4 linked regions of the Arabidopsis thaliana genome follow. The protein of the gene in region 3 interacts with the protein of the main gene of each other region in a pairwise test. Each region holds a gene or a part of one and is shown on either strand. Other genes may lie near its edges.

Evidence for each region.
Region 1: the proteins of MYB87 (region 3) and SEP2 interact in a two-hybrid assay, tested with the Arabidopsis thaliana proteins (one large-scale study listed by BioGRID).
Region 2: the proteins of MYB87 (region 3) and IDD1 interact in a two-hybrid assay, tested with the Arabidopsis thaliana proteins (one large-scale study listed by BioGRID).
Region 4: the proteins of MYB87 (region 3) and WOX14 interact in a two-hybrid assay, tested with the Arabidopsis thaliana proteins (one large-scale study listed by BioGRID).

The regions. Positions count from the first base shown.
Region 1 is NC_003074.8:463,721-469,117, forward strand, and holds SEP2 (K-box region and MADS-box transcription factor family protein), read right to left. Parts: upstream 3,432-5,397; 5' UTR 2,968-3,431; coding exon 2,783-2,967; intron 2,184-2,782; coding exon 2,102-2,183; intron 1,961-2,101; coding exon 1,899-1,960; intron 1,795-1,898; coding exon 1,695-1,794; intron 1,570-1,694; coding exon 1,486-1,569; intron 1,341-1,485; coding exon of another isoform or gene 1,310-1,340; coding exon 1,164-1,309; intron 928-1,163; coding exon 834-927; 3' UTR 559-833; downstream 1-558. Other genes in the region: AT3G02300 (Regulator of chromosome condensation (RCC1) family protein), read left to right, coding at 1-49, 161-209. UniProt on the Arabidopsis thaliana protein: Probable transcription factor. Functions with SEPALLATA1/AGL2 and SEPALLATA3/AGL9 to ensure proper development of petals, stamens and carpels and to prevent the indeterminate growth of the flower meristem.
Region 2 is NC_003076.8:26,641,061-26,646,535, forward strand, and holds IDD1 (C2H2-like zinc finger protein), read right to left. Parts: upstream 3,679-5,475; 5' UTR 2,824-3,678; coding exon 2,700-2,823; intron 2,609-2,699; coding exon 2,212-2,608; intron 2,128-2,211; coding exon 1,853-2,127; intron 1,561-1,852; coding exon 854-1,560; 3' UTR 526-853; downstream 1-525. UniProt on the Arabidopsis thaliana protein: Transcription factor promoting the transition to germination by regulating light and hormonal signaling during seed maturation. Acts as a positive regulator of phytochrome and/or gibberellin action.
Region 3 is NC_003075.7:17,757,717-17,761,583, forward strand, and holds MYB87 (myb domain protein 87), read right to left. Parts: upstream 2,031-3,867; 5' UTR 1,811-2,030; coding exon 1,675-1,810; intron 1,579-1,674; coding exon 1,449-1,578; intron 1,340-1,448; coding exon 688-1,339; 3' UTR 516-687; downstream 1-515. UniProt on the Arabidopsis thaliana protein: Transcription factor that functions as a regulator of genes affecting cell wall organization and remodeling. Activates genes related to the primary cell wall and represses genes related to the secondary cell wall and expansins.
Region 4 is NC_003070.9:7,180,611-7,184,614, reverse strand, and holds WOX14 (WUSCHEL related homeobox 14), read right to left. Parts: upstream 2,058-4,004; coding exon 1,853-2,057; exon of another isoform or gene 1,286-1,852; coding exon of another isoform or gene 1,267-1,285; coding exon 880-1,266; coding exon of another isoform or gene 863-879; exon of another isoform or gene 793-862; coding exon 749-792; 3' UTR 559-748; downstream 1-558. Other genes in the region: WOX10 (WUSCHEL related homeobox 10), read right to left, coding at 1-130; HMGB3 (high mobility group B3), read right to left, coding at 3,422-3,458, 3,546-3,625, 3,855-3,941. UniProt on the Arabidopsis thaliana protein: Acts redundantly with WOX4 downstream of the TDR/PXY receptor kinase to regulate procambial cell proliferation and differentiation in vascular tissue, independently of any role in vascular. Involved in the regulation of gibberellin (GA) biosynthesis pathway.

The sequences.
Region 1 (5,397 bases), on a different chromosome or scaffold from region 3:
CATTCAGAATGGGATCCGAAGCTTTAGCCCGCCTCTGCGAAAGACTGAGGTAAGCAAAGTTGAAGTTCTTGGACAAACTTCTTCATTACCCCTTAAACTTTGAAACTTAGAAAGAATCCAAGTCAAGTAAAGCTAAACAATGCGACTTGATGTGTTTCAGGGAGCAGTTACTTGATGGGGACTTTACTAATGGGGAAGAAGTATATTAAAAAGCACAATCCCCAAACTCCGAAACAATTTAGTATTGTTGGAAGTTATTACAATTGGTCCTATATTATTGAGAAATTGAAGAATGTAGCAAACCAGAAATTACATTCTTCAGCAGAACTCTCTGTATCATTTAACTTTTCAGGACAGATTTCATTACTTGTCCTGCCTCTGTAAGATCCAGATATTGTAATTATATGTTCTGTACACTAGAATCGAAAATAAAAGCTACATCTTGGTGGCATTGTGATCTGTTGAATGTCACTGTTAACTTGAGAGTTTATATGCCTTTGTCACAAGCTGTGTTTGCGATTGCGGTTAGCATCTAACCACGTCTTTTTGTATCATGCATAGACAGGATAAGTACTTCACCAGATGAGACATGGTCGATGTTAACATTTCACACATTATACAAACCATACATATATAAGCAATTACAATAGGCACAAACAAATCCTGAAACAGAAGAGAGATGTTGAAGGCTATTACAGCTATAGCCACTTGTGTCTACAAAAGCAAAAGTCTTGTGCAATAACATTATTATTCATATGCATAAGATCTAAGATCACACCACGAAGACCCCACCAGTACTTGCTTAAGATCTTTATTGGGGGAAGAAGTATCGCTCACAGCATCCAGCCAGGGATGTAGCCGTTTCCTTGTTGGGACTGACCTTGCACCGTCACAGCCATTTGCTCTGAGCACACTGGATGGCTATATCTGTTTGCAACACCACAACAACATAGTTTCGAAGTCAACAATAGAAACCCACATTTTCAAGTCTGAGATATTGATTTTCCATACTTCAGACATCAAAGTGCTGAATCCTTAGACTAAACAACACGAGTTTTAACCAAAGCCTCTATGAAACAAAGACAATGTTGGGCTTAAAGCAAACTGCTAACTGTTTATAACCTAAGTTGATGTCTTAAGGCAAGAAAAGTTGTTTGATTTACCCAATTTGCAAAGTGGGATCACATTCAAGAGATTGGTATAGTCCCTGAGAATGAGCCTGAGGATGTCCATAGGCAATATTCTGTTGATCACCACCTTCCCATCCTCCTCCTATATGGTGATGTCTCACGCCGATCATATCTTCCAGCTAAACAAAACACAATATTTTTCAAACTTTCCTGAAGATATCATAGAAATAATACAAAAGAAACATGTAGCAGTTGAAGAATGTGAAATTTAGACTCATATATATAAATTGGACTATTTAAAGTTTCCATCTATAAATAGAAACTGGAGGAGAGAGAGAGAAACATCATCATATACCTTCATTGACAAAGCTCTGTTGGCATCAAGCAAGATATGCTCCTTACCTTGAAGATCAGAGAGCTGGTCAAGCATATACTGTGTCTGCAAAAAAGAAGAGGCATTTTCAGATAACCTCACGCATCAAAAACATTTCATGCATGTGTCTCAGTCTATATATAGAGAAAGATTTGTGTGAATCTTTCAGTGTATGTACAGAAGTAAATCACCTTGATGCAGCGAACTTGCTTCAGAGAGCCGTCTAGTTGACGCTCAAGCTGCTCTAGCTCCTTTGAATTCAGAGGTCCAAGATCCTCTCCAAGAAGATTTCTGCAGCAACACACTTTCATGATCAATACAAACTATATATATATATATATATATATATATATATGCTGTTTATAAATGATCATCATCCACATTAATGTATATACCTCTGCTGACGTTGCAGATTTTCATATCTACCTTTCAGCTTCAAGTACTCTCTGTAGCTGTTCTGAAAATTGCGAAGATAATAGACAATTGAATATCTATGTAAGAAACTTTGAAGGGCTTTTGTCTCAAAATCAAACATTTTCTTTAGATAAAATTAAAAAAGGATAAATAATTAAGATCGAAGAGATGTTGGAGATTAAACCTCAAGCTCTTTAGCAGGTTTGTTGTTGACTTCAATGGAGCCATAGCTACACTTCTGATACCTTTCCAGTGTCTTGAGCATGCTGAAAGATCAAAAAACACAAATCAGGAGAAGAAGAATCTATAAATTTAATGAACAAACTAAAATTTTAAAAACTAACAAAAGAAAATTTATAAAAAGAAGATCCCTTAATTAAAAAGATATTAAATTCATGTGGTGCTTAAATGTCTGCATGAGCTTTAATTAGACTGGTTAATGCATGGAACCACTAATTATTCTACGTTGGATCTTTTAAATTTCATTGAAGACTGTGAATCTTTAGTTTACTTTACCAAGTTCTAATCACATATATATCCGTGTAGAGACAATGAAATTACATGATAATAATAGTATATCATTATGATACTTTCCTAGCTCCGATAAATCTAAAAATAGATTGCAATTAAATCCCTAAGAATTTGACATGATGATTAAATTAAGATCAGATCTCGAAATTCAATCACTTGAAAGTACTGAATTATTCTTCTATAATCAAAACCTAATTAGAGATCAGATTAAGAAACTGAAAATATATCAAGTATTTTGTTAAAAAGCAATCAAGAAAGATAAAACTCATCACAAGACTAGAAAAATGAAAGATCTACACACAGATCTAATAAGTGTATAAAGAAAGAGAAGTACTTGGAGGTGCTGCAGAACTCGTAGAGCTTGCCACGGTTGGAGAAGACGATGAGAGAGACTTCAGCATCGCAGAGAACAGAAAGCTCATAAGCTTTTTTCAGCAAACCATTTCTACGTTTAGCAAACGTCACTTGTCTGTTGATTTTGTTCTCTATCCTCTTGAGCTCTACTCTTCCTCTTCCCATCTTTCCTCACCCCAAAAAATCCCTATCTTATTTTCCCTCTTTTATAGCTATTTGTGTAACCTTATTAGGGTATGTAATGTTTTATCTATATACAGACACACAGAAACATGACTTGGGTATTGCTTTTTCTGGGGAAAGATCTTATCTTTTGGTGAAGTAAACCCTAGTTTTCAAGAACAAGAAAAGAAGAGGAATAGCTAGAGAGAAAACTTTAATTAGCTTTCTTTGGTTTTTTTGGTTGTGATTTGATATTAGGGCTCTTGTTTATTCTTTAGATCTTTTCTCTTTTTGAAGGGTTGTGATGAGATTGTGAATCTGAAGAAAAGTTTTTGTGAATCTATAAAAGCTATAAAGATAAGAAAATTTGTGAGGGTGAGAGATCATTAGGGTTTGGTGATACAATATCTCTCTCTCTACTTCTTTACTCTTTCTCTCTCTTCCATCTTTTACACAGAAAGTAAAAAACATTCTCACACCTTCTCTCCCAAGTGCGTGCCACGCAGACACCATTATTTGCCATGAGTAGTTAGTTGCTAGTTGCTACTAATTAAGAAAAATGAATTAAGTTTTTAAAACAAACGTTGTCTAGTTATATAATCCATGTCCATATACATCTAGATATATGACTTAGATACCAATGTTTCGACTCTTTTAGGTCTACACGTACGTTGCCCAAACTTCATATTTGAGACATCTTTATTTATTTGTCAACAGAAATATTGAAACATGCATGGATCTTGATATTCTAAAGGTGCCTGAATTAAAATAGAACGATAACGTTTTAAAACCTAATTCCCAATTTGTAGTTTATATATTTCTTGTTTGATCCATATTATTACAAGCCTATATATAGTGTATATAAAACTCAATTAAGCTTCAAAAAGTCAGAAAACTCATCAATAGCTCAAGTTCCACTAATTAATGCCCGAATTTAAAGTTCATCTCTATAGTTTAAAATTTGTTCGTAGCTAGATTTTGCATCTTGGAGTGGTTAGTTATGTTTATTAGACACTTGGAATGCTTTTGAATGTACAATGTCCGGAAAAAAAAACTAATACTGAAAAGGGGATTTGTCCAAGTGGTGGTAGATAGGAGGAGGCGCGTGAGATTGGGGAAACATTGGTTTCTTCTGCAATGAATGAAACGAAAGCAGCTATCATCATTTTCTTTTTCTTACTTCACAAGCCGCAGAAAAGCCTCTCCTACCTTAAAATGGACATGTACGTGTCGCTTTTCTATTGCTTCCTATCTATTCGACAACATTGAAGTTTTGTTCTATTACTTTCGTATTCAATTTTTAATTTTTGTTTGAGAATACCAATTTTGTTTTGGATCTAAACTCGTTCTAATGTAAAAAATAATAATCAGCCGCAGTATATCAATATGTTACATTGTATCTGGACGTGGGATATCTGACCATGTCTCCATGAATCCATGATGATTGACAGATTTATAGGGATAAGTATCCTGGTTTAGGTAATCCATAAGTATTTATGAATATTATGAAAATAAATTTTGATCAGAAAGATTAATTAGTTAAGACTATGATGTAGGGTATTTTAAAATATTGCTAAAAATTTTGCGCGCTTTCAGTATGTATATTTATTTTACTAGTTTTCGGTTGATATATGATTTCTTGAAGTAATTAAGGTTATTAGCTAAATGGAAGAGAACGTGAGGAATATAACACATATGTGATCACATACGAATATATGTAGGTTTAACTTAATTGGTTCGTTGATTATTCTTTATAAAAGTGAAAGTAGATTTAAATTTGTTTTCCAATCTTCTATGTTTGGCCATTGTTTGCAAGAGTTTTGGGAATTAAAGTCTTTTTAGGTGAGACCAAGAAGGGTAAAATATGAGTTTTTGGGTCTAGAATTTATAAGTTAAATAGTTTATTCTCATTTCTAATTATTGTTGACCAAAAAAAAAAAAAACTGTTTGGTTTTGAGGTTTAATTACTTATTGTATATGTACACTCTCAATCATAATGTTTTGGATATACTGTATAGTAAATTTTTAATCAATCGTGTTTATTAGTATATATGTTACAAGTTACACCATTCGTCGTCTCAGTATCACTCTAATATCATTCTGGCGGATTTACTACACACAATTATGCAATTGTAAATAACTAAATACAAATAATTTTCCTTCAGACAAAGAATCTACGAGCAAAGATCTTTCTTCTCAGGTGACGTAGCAAGTCCGTATGTAGTAATTTAGAGAGACAGCTAAAAAACGTTAAAAAGTAAAAAAAAAAAAAAAAAAAAAAGTCTAGACAGTGGAAATTACGTAATAGGATGGGTGATGTGGTTCGAAGTACACGTGTCGATATATGACTGAATAGTAAGTAAGCTTTGACTTTTGTGGTAGGGGGCTGGCCCAAAGGGAGGAGTCACCTTTCTAACAGTGACTTGTCCCTCT
Region 2 (5,475 bases), on a different chromosome or scaffold from region 3:
CTCTCTTCTTGCTTACTGTACACAACCAATTTTATTTTCTTAATATTGAAAACTACACGATCATTGCTCGAGTCCAAGCATATCAATATTGATCAAATGATAAAGTCACACTAATCATAGTTACTGATTTCTGTTAAACTTCCGATTTTGTAATACAGTAAATATGATGTGGGTAAATAAATTATCTTGCTCTCCAAAATAAAATACAAAATAGTGCCTTTGTGGGTTGAATTGTCATGATAATTCTATCACTATAATGGACCTACGTAGCGATTGAAACATCAAAATCCAAAATCTTTGGTCGATTCTCCAATCAAATCACACTGGTCAAGTCTCAAATTATCTGGCCAAATTGAGACTATTTTTAGTTCTGCAAGTTTTTAGACAAATATCACCACCTTCCAAAAAATTTATCACTTTTGGGAGAAGTCAATTCAATCTCATCTACGAATTGTTCCCATTAATGCAAAAATTCGATTCAGCGTTTTAAGACAGCAAGCAACACCCAATAATAGAAACTTCAAACCCCATTGATTGTTTTCACATGGTAGAGACTTCCATCAGAACTAGACCAAGATTTGTAACCATCTGTAATAATTTAGCTGTCATGTCACAACCCGAGTTCAAATTATCTCTCAAAGTACAACATGTGAGTTATAATAAACCACACACCAAAAAAAAAACAATATATTTTGTTGTTGTTGCTAGGAGATTTATGTACTTGAGAGAAAACCCACTTGGGAATAAAACTAAAGCTTTCACTAAAACAAGATACCAAAACATCTAAAACCTGAAACAAACTTGATGAACTATATACTACACTGGTCTACTACGTTCATGCCTTTTGTCTCTCTTACGAACTTCTTCCAATGTCTTTGCCTGAAAACTCCCCTGATCCAAACAGATCGATTCCACCTCCACCACCTATAGAAGTTAACAGAGCAGACAATCCACCTCCGGTATTACCACCATTACCAACAGCTCTTCCTAATCCAAGAAAGTCTAGTGTCGTCTGTTTCGGACCAAACACCGATGAATTCCCCATCATGAGCTCTTTTAGACCCGATCCGCTACCACCGCTGCTACAAGGTAGTCCAAGTCCAAGACCAGGAGCTAATGACAATGCATCATGATTGCTGAGTTCCATAGATGAAGAAGTAGTTGAAACTATGCCTAACCCGCGAAGCAACGAACCTCCTGATCCCGTGGAACCCATTTGTGCAGCTTTTTGGAGCAATGCAGTAGCTGACATTGCCGGTTGAGGAGGGAGAGGAGTTAGGAAATGTGGCGGATCTCGTATTGTTGGTCCGAACAAAGAAGGGTTCGTCGAGAGACAGAGAGAGATGGGTTCCATGGAGGACGATGGTGCGAATAGACTTGGAGAAGCGGTTGAGGAAGCATATAAACTAGGCGAAGCTGTTGATGATACAAACAAACCTGCGTATCCACCATTGTTGTTACTGTGATCATTGCTTAGATCCGATGAGCTAACATTGAACCCGATCGTTCTTGAAGCTTCCTCAATAATGACTTCAGGATGATTGTTGTTTTCTTGAGATTCTACAAACAAAAAGAGATGATGAGTCATGGACATAAACTTTGAGGCTTTAATTATAATTAATGGATACATTATAGGCTTAGCTATGGAAGACGACGAACACGATTCAGTTTTTTAGCAGACATCAGAAATATAACGGCGCTACAGACAAAACCAACTAAACTCCAAGTTCACCGACCAGTTTACAGTTGGATTATTTTAAAGAGTTCTTGTTTCGGTTAGAGAATTGATAAATTGTTACATGTAGCGATTTTGCCACATTTTGCCATCAAACAGAGAGTTTGTATTATGTACCTGGAGAATTCTGAATCGGCAAAACAGAGGAAGATATGATTTTGACAGACTCAGTCTCAACCGAAATAGCCGGTGCCGGAGCTATAGCAACCGATGGCGGAGAAGAAGGCGGTAATGACGGAGAAGACTCAACAGCTGCTGGAGATTTTTGCTCAATTTCAGGATTCTTCCTAGTGACAGTTTCTGGATAAAGTTTCTTGCTTTGAGTATGATTCTTCGCACTCTCTTCAGCCAAGGCATCACAAAAGGCTCTATGCGTTATAAAGCTATCTCTCCTGCAACAAAACCCAATCCACAAGTTAGTAAAATCCATAAGAAAGATCAAACCTTTGAATATGTTTATAACAATTTGTCGCCACCTAGAAAACAGAGTTCCACAATCGCATTTATACTCCTTGGTGCCACAAATCTTCGAATGAGCTTTCCAATCTGATTGAACAGCATACTTCTTAGAACATTTCTCACACTTCCATTTCTTCTCGCCGTGTTTCCGACAAAAGTGTTTCTTGATTCCAGTAAGATCTCCAAGAGCACGTGAAGGGTCATGATGAACACAGCCAGAAACAGGACAAACATAAACCTTCTTCCTCACTTCTTTAGTCGATCTCTGTCGAAGTTTCCATGGAAGATTGTGACCACGACGATGAAGCTGAAGATTCTGGTCACGTTGAAAACCTTTGTTACAGATTTCGCAAACGAATCGATTCGTTGCCATAAGTGTTTTAGGTGACAAAGCTATCACTTCAGCGTCTGGATCTGAATTTAGACAATCAGTGAGAACAACTAAAAACAGAAAATTTCAAACTCAAAAAACAGAAAAAAAAAAGTTTGGATTTTTGAGAAGTACCAGGCATTCCAGGAAGATTCCGTTTCTTCTTCCCGACGGATTTAGGAGTTAGATTTTGGTTTCCGGTCGATGAGACGCTTGCATCGCCGGAAACTGTAGAGGAATTATCTAAATCAACCGGCATGTTTCAAAGATACTAAATTCCAATCTTTGAACACAAAAAGGAAGAAGCAAATCTCAGCTCAGCTCAATCTAGGGTTTATCATCCTCCTCCTACTCTGTTTAGTCTCTCTTTCTCTCTCTCTTCTTCAGCTACCAGTCAATCTGCTTTTCGTAAAAATCTCCTTTTCCCCTTTCCGCCACCAAACTTTTCTGATAACTCACTCTCTGACCTCTCTTCTTCAAAAAGATTTAAAACCCCCAAAAGAAAAAGAAAAAAAATCAAAACTTCATTACCCAAGAAATCTCTTAATCATTTAACCCAGACTCTCTCTTCTCCACACGCATCTTTTATCCACCGTCCACCGATCTGATCCAACGGCTGAGATTTCACCGGAGACGAGTTATCCTTACTACTTCCGGCTTGTTTCTCTCTGAAGAATCACCGGAAAAAAAAATAAGGCGGCTTGTGTGTGAGACTTTGTGTGAAAGCTTCAACCTTTTTTTTCTTTTTCTTTGGCTTGTCCAAGAAAAAGGAGCCTTCTTCTTCTTTTCTCTCTCTGGAGACAATTATACTAATTTTTTTCTCTCAACTTTTCACCCTTTTTTTTTTGTTAACAAACATTTTTTATACATAATTGTGTCGACTTTCAAGTTCCAAGTATCTAAATCTGTATTTTGGACTCCCATGCAAATAATTAAAATAGAATAATCTTTTTGTAGATTTTAAATTGAAAACGGTGTAGAAAGGTTAAAAGCACCAAACAAAACGAGTAAATAGATATTGTAATAATTTTTTCACCTTTATGGAAAAGATTATATCATAGACGATGTACACAGATGAAAATTAGAAAATGGCATGTGAATATATGCAGTACCCAATGAATGCAATATCAGGTTTGTATTATTTTTCTATTGTATCTCTACATGTTACGTAATCAAACGATCAAGTAATTTATTAATATTGTCGATGGCGTAGAAATTATAAATTTATTTTATGTCATTGTTTACTATATAGATTTTGAGCTAAACGACTTATTTTGTCAAAAGATATATCCGTGTTTGGTTTAAGATTGGGTTTTAGTATTTCCAATATTAATCTAAATTCTTAGCTTATGAACATGTCAATAAACAAAAAAATTATTTTACTGTCACTGTCCTTAGACGGGGACAAAGGAGGGTATTACCGTCGCGTTGTCGGACCGTAAAATAATTAACCAAATTTTGTTGTTGAACGAATAACATTTTTTACTGTGGGAATTTGTCGTGTAGCATTACGTTCGAAATCGCAATTTGTTTTCTTCTTTGTGGGTGTATATTTCTGGTTAACGAAACTATAACCCAATTTAATGCAATGTTCGTCTGTTTTTGTTGACTTTGACCCTTTTTTGGTAATATTCGTTCAGCTTTTGTTTTAACGTTTTCATTGCCTTGTAGGCATCTGAGAAGCTCAGATTCTGACACGTGTCTTTTGTTATCTGAATTTGCATCCGTTGGATAAACATGACGCTGACAGGTGGATTGAAAAGTAACCAGCTTGGATTTCTGTGTATATGTTACACCGCCACTTCCCTTAATTTCTTCGTTCTTAGTTAAAATAAAAAAGGTTTAATTTATGAGTAAAAGTATGTAAAACGACAACGATTACTATAAGAATTAAAATTTATCTTTGCTTAGTAATTTGCACTTAAGATTGGATTCAAATTTTGTAAAAAGCGAATGTTACATATATGTCCATTGAAAAAATTGCATTTGACTTTACAAGCATTGAAATTAATTAATTTGGGACCCCTTTTTTTGTTAGTTTCAAAGGAAGAATTATTTTAGGCTGAGATGGGTCCCTCCATAAACTCACTATTCTGCCAGCATACAAATTCCTTAACATATGGTCCAAATAGCAGTTCCAACCACTAGTATCCAATAATAATCTGAACAAATTATCTTTCTTTTTTTTTCCTGATAATCTTGTATTTGTTTGTTCAATGAGCTTAATACGTATATTAGTTATGACTTATAACTAAATACTTTGACTCACTTGATCCGTACACATTGATTTCGTTTATTCAAATCCGAACAACGTAATGATCTTTTTGGGCCGAGTTATTTGTATTCTCAACCTGAGTCCAACCATGCTTTATGGGCTTTTCTGTTTATTTATGCATGTAAAGTTTATAATGCTTGCAAATAACCACATATTGTATGAATGTAATTACTATGATTTAAGGGCACTGCTTTTCTGTTTTCACGTTGTTTTCGAAATTGCTATTGCGTGTGATATCTGTGTTGGACCAATTATTGAAAAGGACAAGGCTGACTCTGGTTTTTAATGAGTAGTCCCCATGGGAGTTATGTTCATTTACCACACATTTTTTTGTATAGTATAGTATGAGTTTTTATTTGATATCTTTTATCTTCGGAAAATAAATGGTTCAAATTGTTTGTCTAAAAATGCACACATGAATATCTTGTGGTCTCACACAATTGTAGGAAACAAATTAATATTTGTTGCGAAAATAATGTTATTATTTTATCATACGAAATCCTAGAGAAAATGGTGGCAAAAGAGGCAAAGACTAAACTAATGAATTTAAAATATGAAAATGATGGAATGACTGGTTTACCAATATTACAGTATATTGTAATTTTATAAAAACGAATCCTGAAGAAGAGGGCAAAC
Region 3 (3,867 bases):
AATGGTATCCTACTCACTACTACATATAACATATGCAAACTAATAATAATATTATGATTTTTTGGGGGTTAAAATAGTATTATGGTTGGAGTTAAGAAACAAAAAAAGTTTATTATGAATGTATGATTGTTCTCAACAAAAGAACGCCAAATATTATGATACTTGTAGTTATTATAAAAGTTAATCATATTATTTTATGTATGTCGTCTATGAAACTAGACTAATGATGAACATCTTTGTAGAAACAATTTATGATCCTTACTTATTAGGTCTGATTGATGATCAAATTAATAGAACTGCTTTCTGTAAAGAAAGAAAATTGACAAGCTTAACTCCCAAACTTTCGTGGTATATATCTTCATTTTTGAGGAATTGTAGAAACATCAAGTCCTAGGATTCCCATTCTTTCAGCATCACCTTGAGCTCGATTAACGAGAGCATAATAAAGGTAGCTTTTTCGCTTAAATAAATGACCGATGATAAACATTAAAATAGAAATATAATAAAACGATATCATCATTTATTCATATTGCAAAGAGCAAAAATCTTTGTGTAATACACTTCTAGGGCTTTTCTTCTTTCACGCCTTCAACATTTTAAGAGATCAGACAAACAAAAAACATGATTTAACCTAAGTACATTGGCATATAATATCTGTATCTATTAATGATCTAATTAATCCATCATCTACTCATTATCGTATAGAGGATAATCAATGAAGGAGCTAATATCGTGATCCAAGTAGTTGTTATTGATCAGGATCTCGGTTCCGTCAAAGCCATTTTCTACCGTGTTGTTGTTGGCTATCTCATCAAATAGCTCGGCCTGGAAATTCTCAAACCCGTCCATAAAGAACATATCTGGTTGATCATGATCATTGTGATTGACGGTGTAGTGAGACATTTGTAAAGATGAATTATTAGTACCAATACTACTAGTACTGCTCATGGAGTTCAATGATGGGGATGCATGATGATGATAAGATGAAGCAGCTGCATCATAATCAACATCAAACAAAACCTTGTTTGGTTCCCAAGAAAATGGTTCCAATATCTGATTCTTGATCATGCTTTGTTCTTCCATGGCAAAAGCTCTCATTGATGGATCCACCACTTGATTATATAATGTTTGGTTCGATTTGGTGTTCTCATCATGAAAGATTTGGATCTGGTTCTGACTCGATGATGATGATGTTGTTCCACGCTCAAATTTGACATTAAGTTGTTGATGAAATGCCTTCCCTTGCTTGCTCAATAGCTTCTTCTTCAGCCTCGTGTTCCAATAGTTTTTGATGTCGTTGTCTGTTCTTCCCGGTAATTGTGAAGCAATGATAGACCACCTTCATTTTAATAAATATACACCAATTATTGATGCAGCGTTTAAATAAAATCATATCTATATCATATAGGATAATAGGAATATATAAGAGATCTAGCTAGGTAACAAACCTGCTTCCAATAGTAATGTAAAGGCTGCAAATGATGTAATCTTCTTCATCGGTGAAGCCTCCATGCTTTAAGTTAGGCCTCAAGTAATTAAGCCATCTCAAACGACAACTCTTCCCGCACCTCTTTATCCCTTCTCATCAAAATGTAAAATTGTTAAGTATTATATGTCACAACTATAAAGTATATAAAAGAATTTAAAATCAAACAAAGGATTTTATAGAAATACCAATTCTCTGAGGGAGGGAAATCCAGTTGTTGCCGGTGCCGTGTTTTTCGATGTAAGACTTAAGCACGGCATCTTCCTCCGTCGACCATGGCCCTTTCTTCACCGCCATCTTGTCGCAGCACGGTGCTCTTCCCATTTTCTTCTTATTCTTTTTTTTTACCTTCTTTCACTTTTAGATTTTTGGATTAGTTTTTATTTCCCTTCCCCTCAATCTTGTTCTCTAGGTATTTATCTTCTATAGTCTCTCCACTATATGTGTATATATATGAGCAAGTTAGCTTTATGAAGAATGATGACAAGTGGGTTTCTGTCTGTACATGTATGTATATGGTGAGAAAAAGGCAATGATATCAAGGGAAGAATCGGTCTCCTAACATTCAAATAAATGTGAATATGACTAAGAAATATATTATCGTAAGCAAACTTTATGAAAGTAATATTATGTTACAAATATTTCAAGACTGAAAAGAGAGGAAATGTAGTAAAGAGCCAACAAATGGGATTATTATTTGTCCGTGTGGTCCAGCTTATGTGATAACATATTTCAGTGTGAATTACTGTAATTTAATCCACCATGCACCTCTAACCTCCAGTTATATATATAAATGTACAACTAGTATAATGGAGTTGATAACTATAATGATTTTATCATATTTTAAATATTTATACTAGTAGTTTCAATGTTTAGAATATGCCTGATCCAGTATATTCAACGAGCTTTTGTGTAAGAAATTTAGGATTCACAACTTTGATTGCATTGGTTAGCAAGTAACTGTTTTTATTTTGATGCCGGTTATTAATGTAATAGTAAATTGTATTTGTATCTAAGCTACGAAAGTACGTAACTACGTATTACAAAATTTATACGTTTAATACAGTCTTTCTCCGTTTTAATTCTTTTAATATCGTAATTTTTTGTTGTTATCTCAATTCATATTATATAGAACGTTTACTTTCTAGAAAACTAAATGACGTTAATTATATATCGTTCTTAAATATTTAATATGTTTTGGATTATGTTTCCTAAGGTAATTATGGATTATATTTAAACTATCATAATCTTCTAGATGAAAAAGTAAATGGCTGACTTGACCTGAGACCGAGAGAATTAGTCTTGGAAAATTGTAGATAAAAAAAATTACATTCTTTATATATTCCAGTTTACGAAAAAAGTAATTGGTTACAACTTACAACTTAGAAGATAAAGTACGAGGAAATAGAAAAACGAAAATTTATGAAAATAACTTTTTCAACGCGCTAACGAGGAATCGGTCTTCTCGGCACGACGAGTACAAATATTTCCAAAAAAATGAGATTATTATCTATTTCATTATGTCTACTCTCATGATTAATTAAGAAATGAATAAGACAAATAAAGCGGGTTAAAACATTTGAATTCTTGACTTCATTATTTAAATCTTTTCTTACTAGTCCACGAGCCAATGCTTGGATCAGGTCTTTGAGACCAAATCTTTACTTTTTTATAAATAGAATTAAAGATTGATAAAGAGTCTTCTTCTTTGATTTTTCTTCTCAAAACGAAATCGATACTTGATTAAGTGGATATAAATACTTCTCGTACTTGAAAAATATTTAACATAATTGATTTGGGTTTTCACAATGTTTAAATGATAAAATACTATGGTATTTTTTTCTCGTGTAACCTAAAAAGGAGCAGAAAAAATAATGTCATGTATTGTTTTTTTCCGTTTTTTCTTTTTTTTTGGTTTTTTCACTTCTCAGGATCATAAGGTGGACACAACACAATGGGCTTTAGATCTGTAAAAACATAATTTAAATAACAGAAATTAAAAATTAAAAAAGCCCCATGCAAACAAAGGGAAATCCAGCCCATCTCGTAGAAAAGCTCATAGGCAACCCTAATGGGCCAGAAGTTCAAAATCAACAGAAGCCTATAGCCCAACCGAATGTGTCATATATTGTTGCTGACATGATAACCAATGTGACTCTTTTAATAAAAATAGTAAGAAAAGAGCACAGGGCCTGAAATCCGATTTTTTAAAAAATACAGTTTATTTTAATAGATTTTGTATGAAAATAATTTACTCTAAATTATCAGAAAGCTAAAACAGTAATTATTTTTTGTTGTTGGACAAAAACGTCTTCTACTGATTTTGAATACGATTTTTAAATTGTCGACCAATTTGTAGTTGCGACAATGTTTGACATCTT
Region 4 (4,004 bases), on a different chromosome or scaffold from region 3:
GAGAGTTGTGGAGGAAGACGAGCTGGTCGCAAAGAACGGCGTAAATGGCGATTTGCTTACGAAGAGTCTCCATTTGTTCATCCGTCATTACTCTACTACCATACCTACCGTTTAGGCTCTCTTGCTCCATCTCCTCTTTCACCACTTTGCCTTCTCCTCTCTCCTTTTTACCATATGAAGAAGACAATGTGGAAGTGAAGGTGTTATGTATTTTTCTTTTTGAGAAATCTTTAGTTATTTGTTACCGTTAACTTTAAACAATTTATGGAAAGATGTCAAACTAGGATCAATTGTCTGATTTTTTTTCTTTTTCAATTACTAGTTAATTGAGGTAATTTTGGGATTCAATTGGATAAATAATTGATATATATTCTAATTGTGTGGTCATGTAACCAATATCCGATTTTATATGATTTTTTGTGTGATAACAATAAATTTAAAAACAATGAAAAAAGCTATGGTCATGACTAGGATCGGTTATTATGGTCAATTGCTTCTACTCTTTAGTGTCATTTGAATTGAGATTTACCGGTCAAAATATCAACCGAGTTTAAGATGGCATCACTTTTCTTTCTGATGCTGAAAAAGATGTGGGCATATATATCAAGTTGAGGAACACAAAATTATAATAAAATTGAAGACTTGTTGTTAATGTCACACACAAACACACACAATTCTATTTTATGAAAACAGAGTAAAAGAAAACAGAATAGATTAGAGATCTTCTTCATCGAAGTCTATACGAATTTTAAGTCTCCATAAATTTCCCTATACTCAACAAATGCTCAATCCCTGAAACCACAAAAAAAAATGCAAACTCAAACCAAAAATAAAAAATAAACCTAACCAAATGTTTAAAAACTCAAATGATCTTTTTACCTAAGTCAGGACTTGGGAAGAGTATATGCTCATAAGACTCTAATCCCCCTGAATCTCCACAACTCCTCCTTTCCTCCGTTGTCACCGCCACATCGTCAGCCTGACCATTAGCTGTCGTCGTTTGAGGCTGCTTTCGTTTGGACCGAGCTCGCCGGTTTTGAAACCAATTGTAGACATTTGTCTCCGTGATCTGTCCATGTTCAGACAGCTCCGTCGCGATCTCTCTAATCCTCCGTCGATTCGGTGTTCCACTTCCTTCGTCGTAAATGCTCTCAAGTATCTGAAGCTGTGTTGAAGTCGGAGTCCACCGATGCCTAGTCGATATCCTATGAGAACTTGACGATGCCCCCATCGGATCAAAGTATCCGCCAACCATTGGCCTCACTCCTTTTTTACACTCAATCATTATAAAAAAATAAGTGACGTGACCCTTAAGTTTCTTCCATGTACAAAATATGTATTATCAAAACCACAAAGCACTAATAACTCAAGCTTCTTAAAAATCGGCCACGACATGATAACCCTCAAATCAGCTTACGTCTAGAGAAAATAAACATTAATAATATATTGAATTGTTCGATCTAAGCAAATCATAAACTATATTAACAAATATCTTTAGCAATGATAAATCGATATCTAAGCGGTAGGTAAACTGTCTTCGAATGTCTAAAACATTATGAAATTTGATTCAAAGTTATGCATCGAACACTGGGAAAAAAAAAGCCTTGGATTTCGTTAGTTGTATACCAAACGCAAACACAATTTTCACATTTTTACACTAAAGTCTCAATGGGTCAAGTGTATTAATGGAAACAACGTTTGCATCGCAAAAAACGCTGCGTTTAAACACTTTCGTCTTACACACTTCTTCTACCGTATACAAAGAAGCTCATCAAATGGTCTCTTGTAAAAAAATCAAATACATAGAAAAGTGATTGTTGTTAATCAGGAACAAAAACAGAGAGAAGTGTACCTGATGAGAGTGGATGGTAAGAAGAGAGGGAGTTGTGGAGGAGGACGAGTTGGTCACAAATAACGGCGTAAACGGCGATCTGCTTACGGAGAATCTCCATCTGCTCCTCAGTCATCACTCTCCCACTATACGCACCGTTTTGGATCTCTCTATCCATCTCCTCTATTTCTTTGCTTTTCTCCTTTTCCTTTTTTTTTTTTACCATATGAACAAGACAATGAGAAAGTGAATGATATATATATTCTTTTGTTTATGAATAAAGGGATCTTTAGTTTATTTGTTACCGTTAAATCAAACACTTTTTGGAAAGATGTCTTTGTTTAATGATCAATTGGACCAATTTAATTTTTACAGTTACCAGGTTTATTACATTGGTTACATATTGAAAACATTGGAGAACTATGGCCTTTCACTAGGATAGATTTTGGTCGACGGTATTCACAATTTTTTGTTAGAATTTCAACATTTTAATCGAGTTTTACGGGTCAAGATATCTACCATTTGAAATAGAAAAATGTGCTAATCCAAAATATGTATCTAAGAAGATCTTAATCCTATGTGTTGATGACATAATAAGACACCACACTAATATATAAAAACAACCTAATTAAAACCAGGTATTGTTGTTACATCCGTAGAGGAACACAAACTGTGTATCTTACTTTATGTATATAGTGGTTAGGTAAAGCCGGAAGCAAGGCTTAATCACAGCATTATATAAAATATTATCGTTGTGACTTATGACTAATGATTAAACTATTGATGGAAAAAGAAGAGCATGCTTTCTTTCTTTTTCTAAGTTGATTAAGAAGAAAATGTACGAATTTGACCAAAAAGGTTCTTTGATATAAAGATGTTGACTAAAAATTTATAACATAAGTGAGACTATTCTGCTGCTAATACGCAGATTTTCACTAAAATCTTCACTTTTGTCAAAAATGATCAAATTTTTTACTTATTTCTTAAATCAAACGAAGTAATACAATCCAAAGAGAAACTCTTAATTAAGCTGATGCAAACCATTTTTTTTTTTCAAAAGATGAAAAGAGAACCAAATGATCATGGCGTTGGTAATTTGGAAAATTCAAGTATAGCCTCAAAACAATTTTACCAACCTGTGTCTAAAGTCAAATAACTAAATAAAAAGTGAAAACATGGTTTACTCTTTGTGGAACACATTGATTAAGAGCGTGATTATGCAATAGGACTCACAACCCCAATATGATTTAAGTAAAAACATGGTTTACACTAATATTTTTTTCAGGGGTATAAATCCTCATATCAACTAGAAACAAAGAGTCTAAAGAGCATTAAAACGTAGAGGAATTAAAAACTAAATCATTCATTATATAGAGCTACAAATCTCTCATTTCACCATCTAAACATTCTACATTCACTTTTTCCATTACCCGTAGAATCAGTGGGAGATAGGTAATAGTTTACTAAAACGAAACATCAGTAAGAAAAAGAAAAAGAAAAAAAAAAAAAACCACTTTAACCACCCGAATTAACATTTTAAGAGAGGAGATAAAAACATCCGAGAGATTCCTTGCAGCCTTCTATATTACGCTACCACAACTTCAACTTCTTAATCATCGTCTTCCTCCTACATCACATGTATAACAGAGTTAATACAAAGCTTTACTGATTCATACTACAGATATTTAGATTGCAGAGGTGTAAAATAACTTACCTCTTCACTGCCATCCTCAGCATCATCCTCATCGTTAACCTCTGAAACTGACTTGTCAGATTCCTCATCTTCCTTAGGGCCTTCCTCCTGAAACCACAACACACCACCATTATTCAAGCACCCCCATTAACCAAATTACCAGTTGCTTGTATCATCATTGTTTAGAATAAACATAACTCAAACTTCAATATATAGTAAACAAATTAAGAAAGCCTTGAATAGTGTGACTACTGACTAGTATAAAGAGAGTAGACAACTCAATAACGTGGTTAATATAAACATAACATAGCCTTCTATATGCAAATAAACAATTACCAATTTCTTGTTGTAGGCTTTCATGTTCTTCTCATACTCAACCTTGCGCTTGTCAGCCTTAGCCACATAAGGAGCCTTCTCCTGCATTATTATAACACCCACAGGTTAATAAAACGCTTGAAACAATTGACTTAATACACACAA